Linked DNA regions of Mus musculus. The protein of the gene in region 1 interacts with the protein of each later gene in a pairwise test. Links are inferred from orthologs where the notes say so. Each region holds a gene or a part of one and is shown in the gene's direction. Other genes may lie near its edges.

What was found.
Region 2: the proteins of Zfp24 (region 1) and Ccdc130 interact in binary tests that used the Homo sapiens proteins (3 or more experiments, as listed by UniProt). The two-hybrid records come from large-scale screens. The link is inferred for Mus musculus from reciprocal best matches to the Homo sapiens genes ZNF24 and YJU2B.
Region 3: the proteins of Zfp24 (region 1) and Zfp446 interact in binary tests that used the Homo sapiens proteins (3 or more experiments, as listed by UniProt). The link is inferred for Mus musculus from reciprocal best matches to the Homo sapiens genes ZNF24 and ZNF446.

What each region holds. Positions count from the first base shown.
Region 1 is NC_000084.6:24,018,330-24,022,080, reverse strand, and holds the start of Zfp24 (zinc finger protein 24), read left to right. Parts: upstream 1-1,267; 5' UTR 1,268-1,369; intron 1,370-1,710; exon of another isoform or gene 1,711-2,249; intron 2,250-3,751. UniProt on the Homo sapiens protein: Transcription factor required for myelination of differentiated oligodendrocytes. Required for the conversion of oligodendrocytes from the premyelinating to the myelinating state.
Region 2 is NC_000074.6:84,260,381-84,264,031, reverse strand, and holds part of Ccdc130 (coiled-coil domain-containing protein 130), read left to right. Parts: intron 1-87; coding exon 88-170; intron 171-983; coding exon 984-1,039; exon of another isoform or gene 1,040-1,061; coding exon of another isoform or gene 1,062-1,065; intron 1,066-2,231; coding exon 2,232-2,292; intron 2,293-3,346; coding exon 3,347-3,489; intron 3,490-3,565; coding exon 3,566-3,651. UniProt on the Homo sapiens protein: May be involved in mRNA splicing.
Region 3 is NC_000073.6:12,980,719-12,983,553, forward strand, and holds part of Zfp446 (zinc finger protein 446), read left to right. Parts: intron 1-1,127; coding exon 1,128-1,209; coding exon of another isoform or gene 1,210-1,265; exon of another isoform or gene 1,266-1,400; coding exon 1,401-1,957; 3' UTR 1,958-2,835. UniProt on the Homo sapiens protein: May be involved in transcriptional regulation.

The sequences.
Region 1 (3,751 bases):
CCGAGGGTAAAAAGGCTGTATTAGAGTCTCATAGTGAAGAGAGGAAAGTTCCAGAGGTTATGGGAAGGTGAGCTCCGGCTGGAACGTTGAGTCTTGCTATTCTGTCAGCTGCCTGTTTACTGCTCTCTCATTCACTACGGGAGCAGAGGCGAGGACACTCTGCAGAGGCCCTTTCCTGAATGAGACAATAGGGCAAAGCCTGAGGACCGCTTCAATGTTCTGCAAACTTGACCTATGCTTCTTACAAGAGTATTTTCAAAACAGAGCTCTTTTGTGCGATTTCTGAGACTTGACATGTGACCTAGCAAAGGCCTCATGCAATGTGACCAGCCTACAATTCATTCACTTATTCAAAGTGTACTTACTGAGTTTTCTATGTACCAGTCAGCATCCAGAAACTAGGTGTGGGTACTGTGCTAACCAGGACCTAGAGGACCCAACTTTACAGGACTTTCAAACAAAGCACAGCTAAGTTAGAAGATCACTTCTAAGGGTGGCCACAAGCATATGGAGGCCACCTGGAGGAAAGGGCATTCATTGGTCAGTGAGGCTGAGGCTGCACAATAAGTCCCATGCTTAATAAGAGTCATGCACAATCACGGTCAGAAGGAAAAGGCAGGCAACAGACCATAGACAACCTACGGGACAACGTAACAAATTTCTGTCAATAGTTAAGGTAGCTGAGATCCACTAGAGGACTTTAAAAAGGGGAATACGGCGATCTAAGTGACTACACCTGCAGCTGCCTTAAACAACCAGCATGCGTGTATTCTGCAATTCTCTGTGACTAGCCAAAGGCCTCAACTAGTTTCATCTTGTTTCTTTGATAACCTGTCGTAGTCTCTGAGACACAGCTAGTGGAGGACGATGGTTTGAGGCATGGTTAGAGGCAAACCTTGTGTCAGGGCCCAAAGCTCCTAAGTAGCAAACACTATAGGGTGCGGGGGCAATGTAACCGATTTACACGTAGCGACTGCGGTTGACCCGATTACAGCACACTTTCAGAAATGTTCTCTTTCGTCAGTTAACCAGAGGGCTCCGGAGAGGAGTACCGGGCACTCGTGGAACTGCCGCCCACGTCCCTCTTGCTCCCCTCTCCTTTCTCTGGAGTGGAACAGAGAGCAACAGTCACTCTGCGAAAGGCGCCAGGCCAAGCGCAGCCTCAATGCGGCCATTGTCATCAAGCCGCACCTCCCCCGCTCACCGCGCGTCCCCATGGCAACCCCGGGCATCGGCTCCCCCATTTCCCTCCCGCCCCCCGTCCTGCGGACCGGAAGCCGTGCGCGCCGGGGGCTTGTGGGAAGCGGCTGGAAGCGGCGGCGCTGCGTCTGCCCGGGACGACGAGGCTGCGGCGGGTCCCGAGCCAGAGGTCAGCGGCGCGCGGGGGTAGGGCTCGAGGAGGAGGGCGCGGGTAGGGGCCGGGAGGCCGGCGTCGCTCGGCATCCCGGGCGTGCGCACAGAAGGCCGCGGCGGAAGGGCCGCGGCGGCCTGCTGCACTTCGGGGGTCCGCAGAGCCCCCGGCGCCCGCATCCTCGCCGCCCTGCTTTCCCCTCCCCCACGGGCCGGTTTTGTTCTATTTCGAGGCTCTGGCGGCTCGCGTAGGATTCTGGGAGACGCTCAAGCTGAAGTGGGATCCGGCGGTTCTCGCGCACCACCTACTGGGATTTGTAGTCCTGCTGGTCCCGGGCGGAAGTGCCTGTCCAGTGTGGCGGGGCCTCTGCGGCCCTCCTGGTGAATGCTGGGAAGAGGACGGCCGAGTTGCTGGGGCAGGCTGGGCACGGCGCTGTGAGGCGGGAGGTCGCTGAAGACCTGGATCCTGCCGAGTGCCGGATTGCACATTCCACGAGCTTGGTGCAGTACAAAGTAAAAGAAAAAGCAGTTTCTGTTATGTAGAAATACGTGAGCTGTTGATAAGAGTCGGCTCCAGGAATAAGAACAAATAACTTGGATTTTGTTCTCAGGCCATCCCACTCTTATCTATATGACCTGTCAGTTTGATACAGCATTTTCTCATCCTTTGTCTTCACCTTGACCGGTTTCAGTAAGGTTTTGTTAAGTTTCTGGTTTTTTGGTTCTTGGCTCTGATTGATTAAACAGTAGCTGTAGAGTTAAGAGTGTCTATGTGCTGTTATCCGTGGCACGGTTATGATTTTGCAAATACCAAAAGGACCAGAAAGTAGTTCAAATTTCCCCGAAGGAAAAGTTAGGGAAGCTGACTGAGGAAAAAAGACTCCTGTCCACTGAGAACTGTAAGTGCTTTTTCCTAATAGAATTTGCTGCAGCTGATACTTGTTACTGTAAGTTTAAATGTATATATGGTGTGGTGGATGCCTGAGTAACATTTGCATGTTATGTGAAATAGCTTCTTCCGCAGTGTTATGCGATCGGTTACTGAACTGTGTAAAGCAGAGTTTGTGACAGATCTACTAGCCCAGGTTGGGTTTGCCATGTAGACGAGGATAACCTTGCTTCTGCCTCCGTGTTGAGGTTACAGATTTAGGACACATAGCTAGCTACTAGTGAACATTTCTCACATATATTTTAAGTTTAGGGAGTTCCTAAACAAACAACATAGTATTTATGCACAATTCCGAGAGTTAGCTCAGCAGTAGAGGAGGGTGTGTAAGGTCCCTGGATAAGTCTCTAATCCGGGGGGTTCGGGCTGGGGCTGTGGTTGATCTGTTTCCTACTCCAGGTTTGCAAAAAATGAAAAGAAAAGTGGGATGGGCTAGGTGGCTCATCGGGTAGGGGCCTTGCTCCTAAGATCCCAGATTGCACATAGCAGGAGGGAGGAACTAACTCCTGCCTGTTGTCCTCTGACCTCCACGCCTGTGCTGATGCATTCCAGCACAAAATAAATGGGGGAAAAAAAGTTATACATGTCCCACCGCTCTGAATGTTTAGTTTGTTATCTTATGTATATTTGTACCACGTGTTTGCCTGGTGCCTAAGGAGGTTAGAAGAGAGAGGCTTGTGGTGCTGGAAACAAACCAGGGTCCACTGCAAGGGAACACCTTCTTAATTGCTGGACCAGCTTTCCAGTCCCAAGCTTCAGAGCATTTGGAGACCACTGAGATAGATGGCTTCTTACCTGGATTCCTTAGGTTATTAAATTACCTTTGGTTGACCATATGTCACAGATTGGCAATCTTTTTTTTTCCAAGAATGGACAAGATAGTAAATATTACGTTGTTTTAGATCTTAGCTGAAATCATTGAATGCTGTCAACTCTTACCATTATAGCCTGAACCACAATTAAATTTAATGACTTATATACACAAAATTTAAACATATTAATGGGGCTGGAGAGATGGTTTAGTGGTTAAGAGCACTGGCTGTTCTTCCAGAGGTCCTGAGTTCAATTCCCAGCACCCACATGGCAGTTCACAACTGTGTGTAACTCCAGTTCCAAGGGGTCTGACACCTTCACACAGACATACATGCAAGAAAAACCACCAATGCCCATAAATCATTTTAAAAAAACATTTTTACATCTTATTTGTGTGTGTGTGTGTGGGGGGGGTGTACACGTCGTGTCCGGCTTGTGCAGAAGTAAGCTTTCGCTTATGTACTTGTTGGTCATCGGACTCGGGTCAGCAGGCTCGGCAGCAGGCCTTGGCCAACCAAGTGACCCTGCTGATCCTGGACAGATACATCATATTTTCTCAACAAGAAACGCTTCTGTGCTTTTTAGTCATTAAAATTTTTACACTACTTTACTATGGATGCTGTAATAGGCAGCAGGCTAGAT
Region 2 (3,651 bases), on another chromosome or scaffold:
GGGAGGATTGTCTCCCAGCAGTAGGACAGCAGGGCAGTAAGCCACCCAGCTTGGTCCTGCCTGGCTTCACTCACCCTTTCCATACAGCATGGCTCTCTCAACCGATACCACAACAGCCACCCACTTCGAGAACGGGCTCGGAAGCTCTCACAAGGCATCCTTGTTATCCGGTAAGAAACTACCCCTCCCTTCTCCCAAGATCTCCAGTTTCTATCAATCTTATATCCCCTGATTGATTGACCCAGTGCTGGAACGTTATAATTCCATAAAGCTGGTAGACATTGCATCAGTCAGCCATTGCTGTATAACAAAACAATAAACAGTTTTTACTGATAACAAGGCTAGGTGCCTCTTCTGGGCTTGGAAGGACCTGACGAGGCCGTCTTCCTTCATTGATGAGTACCAGGAAGCAGAAGACTAGTCCTGTGGGGCCTTGGCCTGTACAGATAGACTGCTCCACAGCAGGTCTCTCTTCCAGCAGACCAGCAGTACCATGGCTCCAAAAGAAGCAGAAGTGCCAGGGCTCTTAAGGCCAGGACCAAACGTGACACATTGAACCTTCTTTGCCATTGTCTGGTCAGATCCTGACTCCAGGGCTGGGCCAGGCTCTTCCTCTGGGTGGCCAAGCCAGAGGGTGATAGAGAAGGAAAGGAGCCAGAAGAAAGAGTGGCCAGCCAGGGCCTGTACAGGTGTATACTCCTGCCTACCCGGGACTAGGTGGCCTGAGACAGGAGGGCTACTCAAGTCCAAGAGTTCATGAACAGCCAGAATACATCTTAAGAAAAAAGGGAGTGGGGGAGCAATGGCTCAGTGGGTGAAGTGTTGCCAAGCCAGAGATCCTGAGTGCAGTGCCCACAGCCATGTAGTAGAAGGAAGGAACCAACTCATGAAAGTCGTCTTCTGACCACCACACACACAGTGGCTAAGTCGTAGGAAAAAACTTTTAAAGGAAATAACAATAAAAAGTCCTTGTCTTTGTTTAGATTTGAAATGCCATACAACATCTGGTGTGACGGCTGTAAGAACCACATCGGCATGGGTGAGCGTGGGTGAGCGCCGCCATGGGTGAGTGTGGGTGAGCATGGGTGAGCGCAGCCATGGGTGAGCATGGGTGAGTGTGGGTGATGTCGCCCACCCCACCTGCCCTGCCCACTCCTTCGGCCCCCTCTGTGCCAAGTACTATGAGACACTGGAGATGTTGCCAATCCCAAGGGCAAATCAGAAGGTGGCAGGTACCCAAGCCAGAGAGCAATGAGAAGGTTAGGCCCTGAGGTCCAGATCCTGGGCAAGGGCAGGGCAGGGATTTTCTTTGGATCCATCACTAGGGCAGAAAAGCAAGGGCAGATGCTGTTGCTAGGCTAGGCTATGGGGCAGAGATTGTAGTGTTTTTGACCTGCCTCAGGGTCAGCTAGGCTCCAGGAAATGAAGATGACAACCTAGATGCAGAGATCTGGGAGACAAGGTGGCTGTGGGAAGGGAAGGAAAGTGAGAGGCCCACAGCCCAGACCTACCTAAGGTGTGCACTGTTGGGGCAGAGATCGGGCCCTGGGCAGGTTTAAGACCCTGGGTCCTGTTCCCAGGACTGAAAACAGGGAGCTGAACCACCCCCAGACACCTCATGGCCACCTCTAGCCCAAGCTAAAGCAGCTGCCCCAGAGAGGAGCAGCCGGGCCATGCCATGGGCAGCACCCAGGCTCAGTACCTGCCACTCACAATCAGAAGATAGGACTATATTACCTCCCAGGAAAAATCAGATAGTTTTGAAAAGAATAATGAAAGCTGAGCTTATTCACTCGAGTAGTATGTATGTATGTATTTGAGACAGGGTCTGGCTGTGTCATCAAGGTAAGCCTCAAACTCCATCTTGCCTCTGTCTCCCGAGTGCTGGGTCACGGGCATACCCCACACCCATCTCTCCATCGACATTTTCACCCTCATCTCTGTTGACGAAATGGGAGACAGAGGTCCAGAGGGATGAGGCACCTTGCCTAGGGGACACAGTTGGGAGTCAGTGGAAGCAGGGTGGACCGGGCCTTTCTGTTTCAGTCCACACTGTCCTATAGCCTAGGTACCCCAGTGCCTCCCAAACTTCATTCTTTCCTACTGTGAGCTTCTGGGCCCTTGCAGGGCACCTGCCCTCCCAGGCAGCAAACAGCAGTTTGTCTGTCTCCCACCCAAAGAAAAGCTGCTGCTGTGTCATGGTCCCAGCCTCTCTCTCCCCGCCCTCTCAGGTGTGCGCTACAATGCAGAAAAGAAGAAGGTTGGCAACTATTACACGACTCCAATCTACAGGTAGGCGCATCTGGTGGCACTTCAGGGATAGGCGTGGCTTCACGGGCTAAAGAGTCTATAGAGGAGTCTTGAAGGGAAAGGGAACGCAGCACCTTCCTCTAGAGCCGTCGTCTGTAGAACTATCCGTTCTGGCCTGTCAACCTCCTCCAGTCTTTCATGGCTCCCACCTTCCCCAGTAAAAGCTTAGGCTCTCTTACTCTGCTTCAGACCTTGTAATCTCTGCTCCCTCCACACAGAAGCTAAACGGCTCCATCGCTGTGCTGCTCCGACACTGCCCTTTTGCAAAGCTGTCCCCTCTTGTGGGGTATCTCTTCTTGCTGGGGCATGCTCACCCCAGGCACACCTGCCCCTCCCGGAGCAGATTGTCTTACTAGCAGCTTTCCCAACTGTTGACACCCAGCCTGGCACAGAAGAACCAGTAGAGGGGAGTGGGAAGGAGTAAACAGATGGGTAGGTGGGTGGGTGTGAGGATGCCTAGGTGAGTGACTAGATAAGTGGGAAAGTGAACAAGGAGAGGATGGGTGGGTGGATGGATCTGAAGATGGATGCATAGATGGACCAATGGGCAGGCAATGGATGGGTAGATAGACATGTGGATGAATAAACTGGTGGGGAGGTGAGTGGGTGAACTGGGGGATGGGAGGTGGGTAGATAGGTGAGGAATGAGCAAACGAAGGAATGAAAGAGCCAGCTTCCGTGTCTGGGTGATGGACTGTAGGTGGAGATAGGGTCCTACTGTGTAGCCTGGGGAGTGCTGGGATCACAAATGGGTGCCAGCACACCTACCAGTTCTGTTGGGCTATTTTGTCACCCTAGAGGTGAGAGCCAACATGAACATGCTGAGCAGGCTTTATACTTTGAGCCTCCAGGCCCACCTTCAGCCTCTTGGTTGCTCCATCTGTATGCAAGCCTGTGTGTCTTCCTCAGGGTTCGCCCAGATGTGAGCAGGGATACTCAGTGACTTCTGGAAGTGTGTAGTACACCAAAGGAAGTGGGCAGTGGTTCTGGGGTCTCAGGATGGAGCCACAGCATCCTAACTCCAGTTCCTCTCTAGGTTCAGGATGAAATGCCACCTCTGTGTCAACTACATCGAGATGCAAACAGACCCTGCCAACTGTGACTATGTCATCGTGAGTGGTGCCAGTCGCAAGGAGGAGCGTTGGGACATGGAAGACAACGAGCAGGTGCTGACCACAGGTGAGCACCATCTGCTTGCCCGTCCCACACGACCTCTGGCTGCTTCCCCAGAGTCACACTTATTTGGTCCTTGCAGAGCATGAGAAGAAAGAGAAGCTGGAGACGGATGCCATGTTCCGCCTAGAGCATGGTGAGGCTGACCGCAGCACACTGAAGAAGGCC
Region 3 (2,835 bases), on another chromosome or scaffold:
CCATAGGACCCTGTCTTGCCACCAAACTACCTCTCTTCAGACCTTTCCAGCTGGTACCAAGCACCTAAGCTTTTTTTCTCCATCACTTTTGCGTACTCACCTCGTCACAGTCCTAAAATTCCTCCTCCTCTTCCTCCTCCTTTTTTCTTTTTTCTTTTTCTTTTTTGGTGTGTGTATGGGAGGGCAGTTCAAGACAAGGTTTCTTTGAATAACAAGCCCCAGCTGTCCCGGACTGGCTTTGTAGACCAAGGAACTCCTGAGTGCTGGGATTAAAGGTATGTTCTACCATGCCCAGCTTCATTATTCTTTTTTCATCTTAGTCTTCCAACCCACCGCACCTTGTTTTTGTTTTTGTTTTTGTTTTGTTTTATCTCTCTACTCAGCCCCAAATGTCCTGGATCCCAGTATGTAGACCAGGCTGGCCTCTGCCTCTGAGTACTGGGATCAAAGTGTGCACCTACCATACCTGGCTCCTTAGTCCTCTTTCTAAAAAAATAAAATAAAATGAAATAAATAAAGGTTTTGCAAATGTAGCTCATTTGGTAGAGTGCCTGCCTAGCATGCATTAGGCCCTAGGTTCTATCTCCAGCACTGCATAAACCGGTAATCCCAAAACTCAGGAGGCAGAGACTGGAAAATCAGAACTTTCAAGTTATCCTCAGCTACGTAGTGCATTTGAGGCCAACCTGGGCTACATAGACCTACTCTTTCTCACAGGCACCCCAATAAAGGCCAAAAAAAAAAATCTCTCACCCCAAGGAAGAATTTTCAGTTTTGTTAATCAGTCTTGACAGAAGGTAGCTGAAGCTCAGGTAGTCTCCAGACCTCTTGTTGACTTTCCATCACATCCTGTTCATAGTGTAGTGACTAGAAGGATAGACAGCCACTGTGGCTTTCTCCAAAACCTACCCACAAGTTCAGTCCTCTGGCCATCAGTGAGATAGACCACTGAGAAGACAGGGATGGTAGGTTGGACAGATGAAAGCTGACCCAGAACTCACAAATGCCAATACTGGCTTGGTCCTTAGCCTGCTACAGATGGAGATCCAGTAACCTGCCAGCCACGGGGTGGTGGGTAGGGGTATGAGGCTGCCTGGGAGAGGCAGTGACTGCTTGCATCCTTGCAGGAGTGGGGCCTGTTGGACTCATCACAAAAAGAGCTGTGCTGGGGTGTGATGCCGGAGAAGTACGACACAGTGGTGTCCCAGGGTGAGGATCAATGGCCTTCCCTGTCCCATCCTCCACACACCTCCCACGTGTACTAGGCCCTCACTGGGGCTCCCAGTGCAGTGGCCCAGCATCCGGCTGCATCTCTCTTCTACCAAAAGGTTCCCATCCCCATACTTTTGTGTAAGCCCCCATGTGTCCAAGCCCCCAAATGAACGTTCTTTCCACCCTAGCAAGCCTGCCGCTGCTACAGCCAGAGACACATGTTGACTCTGAGCTGAGACCAAAACAGGAGATGCCACACGAAGGACCAGAATCCCTCCGGAGCCATCCCCCAGAAGTGGGAGCCATTGCAGATCCAAGGCTAGTTCAAGCCACTCCAAGTGAAAGGCAGAGCCCTTGCAAGGACCCTTCAGTCTTGTCTCCCACACCACTGCTTGAAGCCCCAGCGAGGCCCACACCTCGGAAGCTGTACGTTTGTGAGCAGTGTGGCCTCAGCTTTGACTGGAAGTCCGTTTTCATCATCCACCTCCGCACACACACGAGAGGGCCAGGCCTGGAGAGACCATCACAGGTGGCCCGGGAGCCGGCCATGAAGCGCTCCCCTGGCCTTCGGGGATACACATGCGTGGAGTGTGGGCGCAGCTTCAGCTGGAAGTCACAGCTGGTCATCCACCGCAAGAGCCATGCAGGCCAGCGGCGCCACTTCTGCCGCGACTGTGGCTGTAGCTTTGACTGGAAGTTTCAGCTGGTCATTCACAGGAAGATCCACCAGCCAGAGGGTCCATGAGTAGCTGGAGAGGCATGTCTCACCTTGGATTCCTCCATCCCCTAATGCACCACTTTAGCATCCTCTCTAGCCAAGAGGAGGTTCTAAGGTACCCCAAATAGGTCAGGGATTGCAAGAAGATTGCCCTGTCCAACACCAGACTATCCAGTGTAAGGAGAAGAGGCTAGTCCCTTCCTTTGGCCCCTGCTTTGTGGAGCCAGGCCTGGGTTCGATGACTAACCTATCCAGCTTGTGCAAAAGGTGGACACTCCCTACTTCAGGATGCTCAGAAATTGCCTCAGGTCCCTCCTTGCAGTGGCTGGGCAAGAAGTCTCTGTGGAAGGTACTGGAAACCACAGTTGCCTTTCTCCCCTGCTGCATGTGACCCTTAGACAAACATGCTAGATTTGTTTGTTTTGTTTTGTTTTTTGAGACAGGGTTTTTTCTGTGTAACCCTGGCTATCCTGGAACTTACTCTGAAGACCAGGCTGGCCTTGAACTCAGAAATTCACCTGCCTCTGCCTCCCAAGTGCTGGAATTAAAGGCATGTGCCACCACTGCCTGGCTAACATGGTAGATTTTTAATGTAAGTTATACGTCTATAACAATTTCTAAGTAAAACTCCTGACTTCTAGCTTCCATTGACCAAAAGAGCAGCCGTGTGTGCTGGCTAGCAGACTACAGGAACCACAGGGCAGCTGAGCCCTAAAAGGCCTAATTAGTTACTTCTCTCCTCCAGCCTACCTAGTTTCCTGACTACACACATTGCTCCCCACCCGCCCTGGCCTTTGAACTCCTGAACTTGAACTTGGATGAACAACTGACTCTCCTTTGGGTGCATGAGAGCACATGAGTGGATTCTGAGAAGTTAGATAACCCATGGGTACCTCAGGCCATGC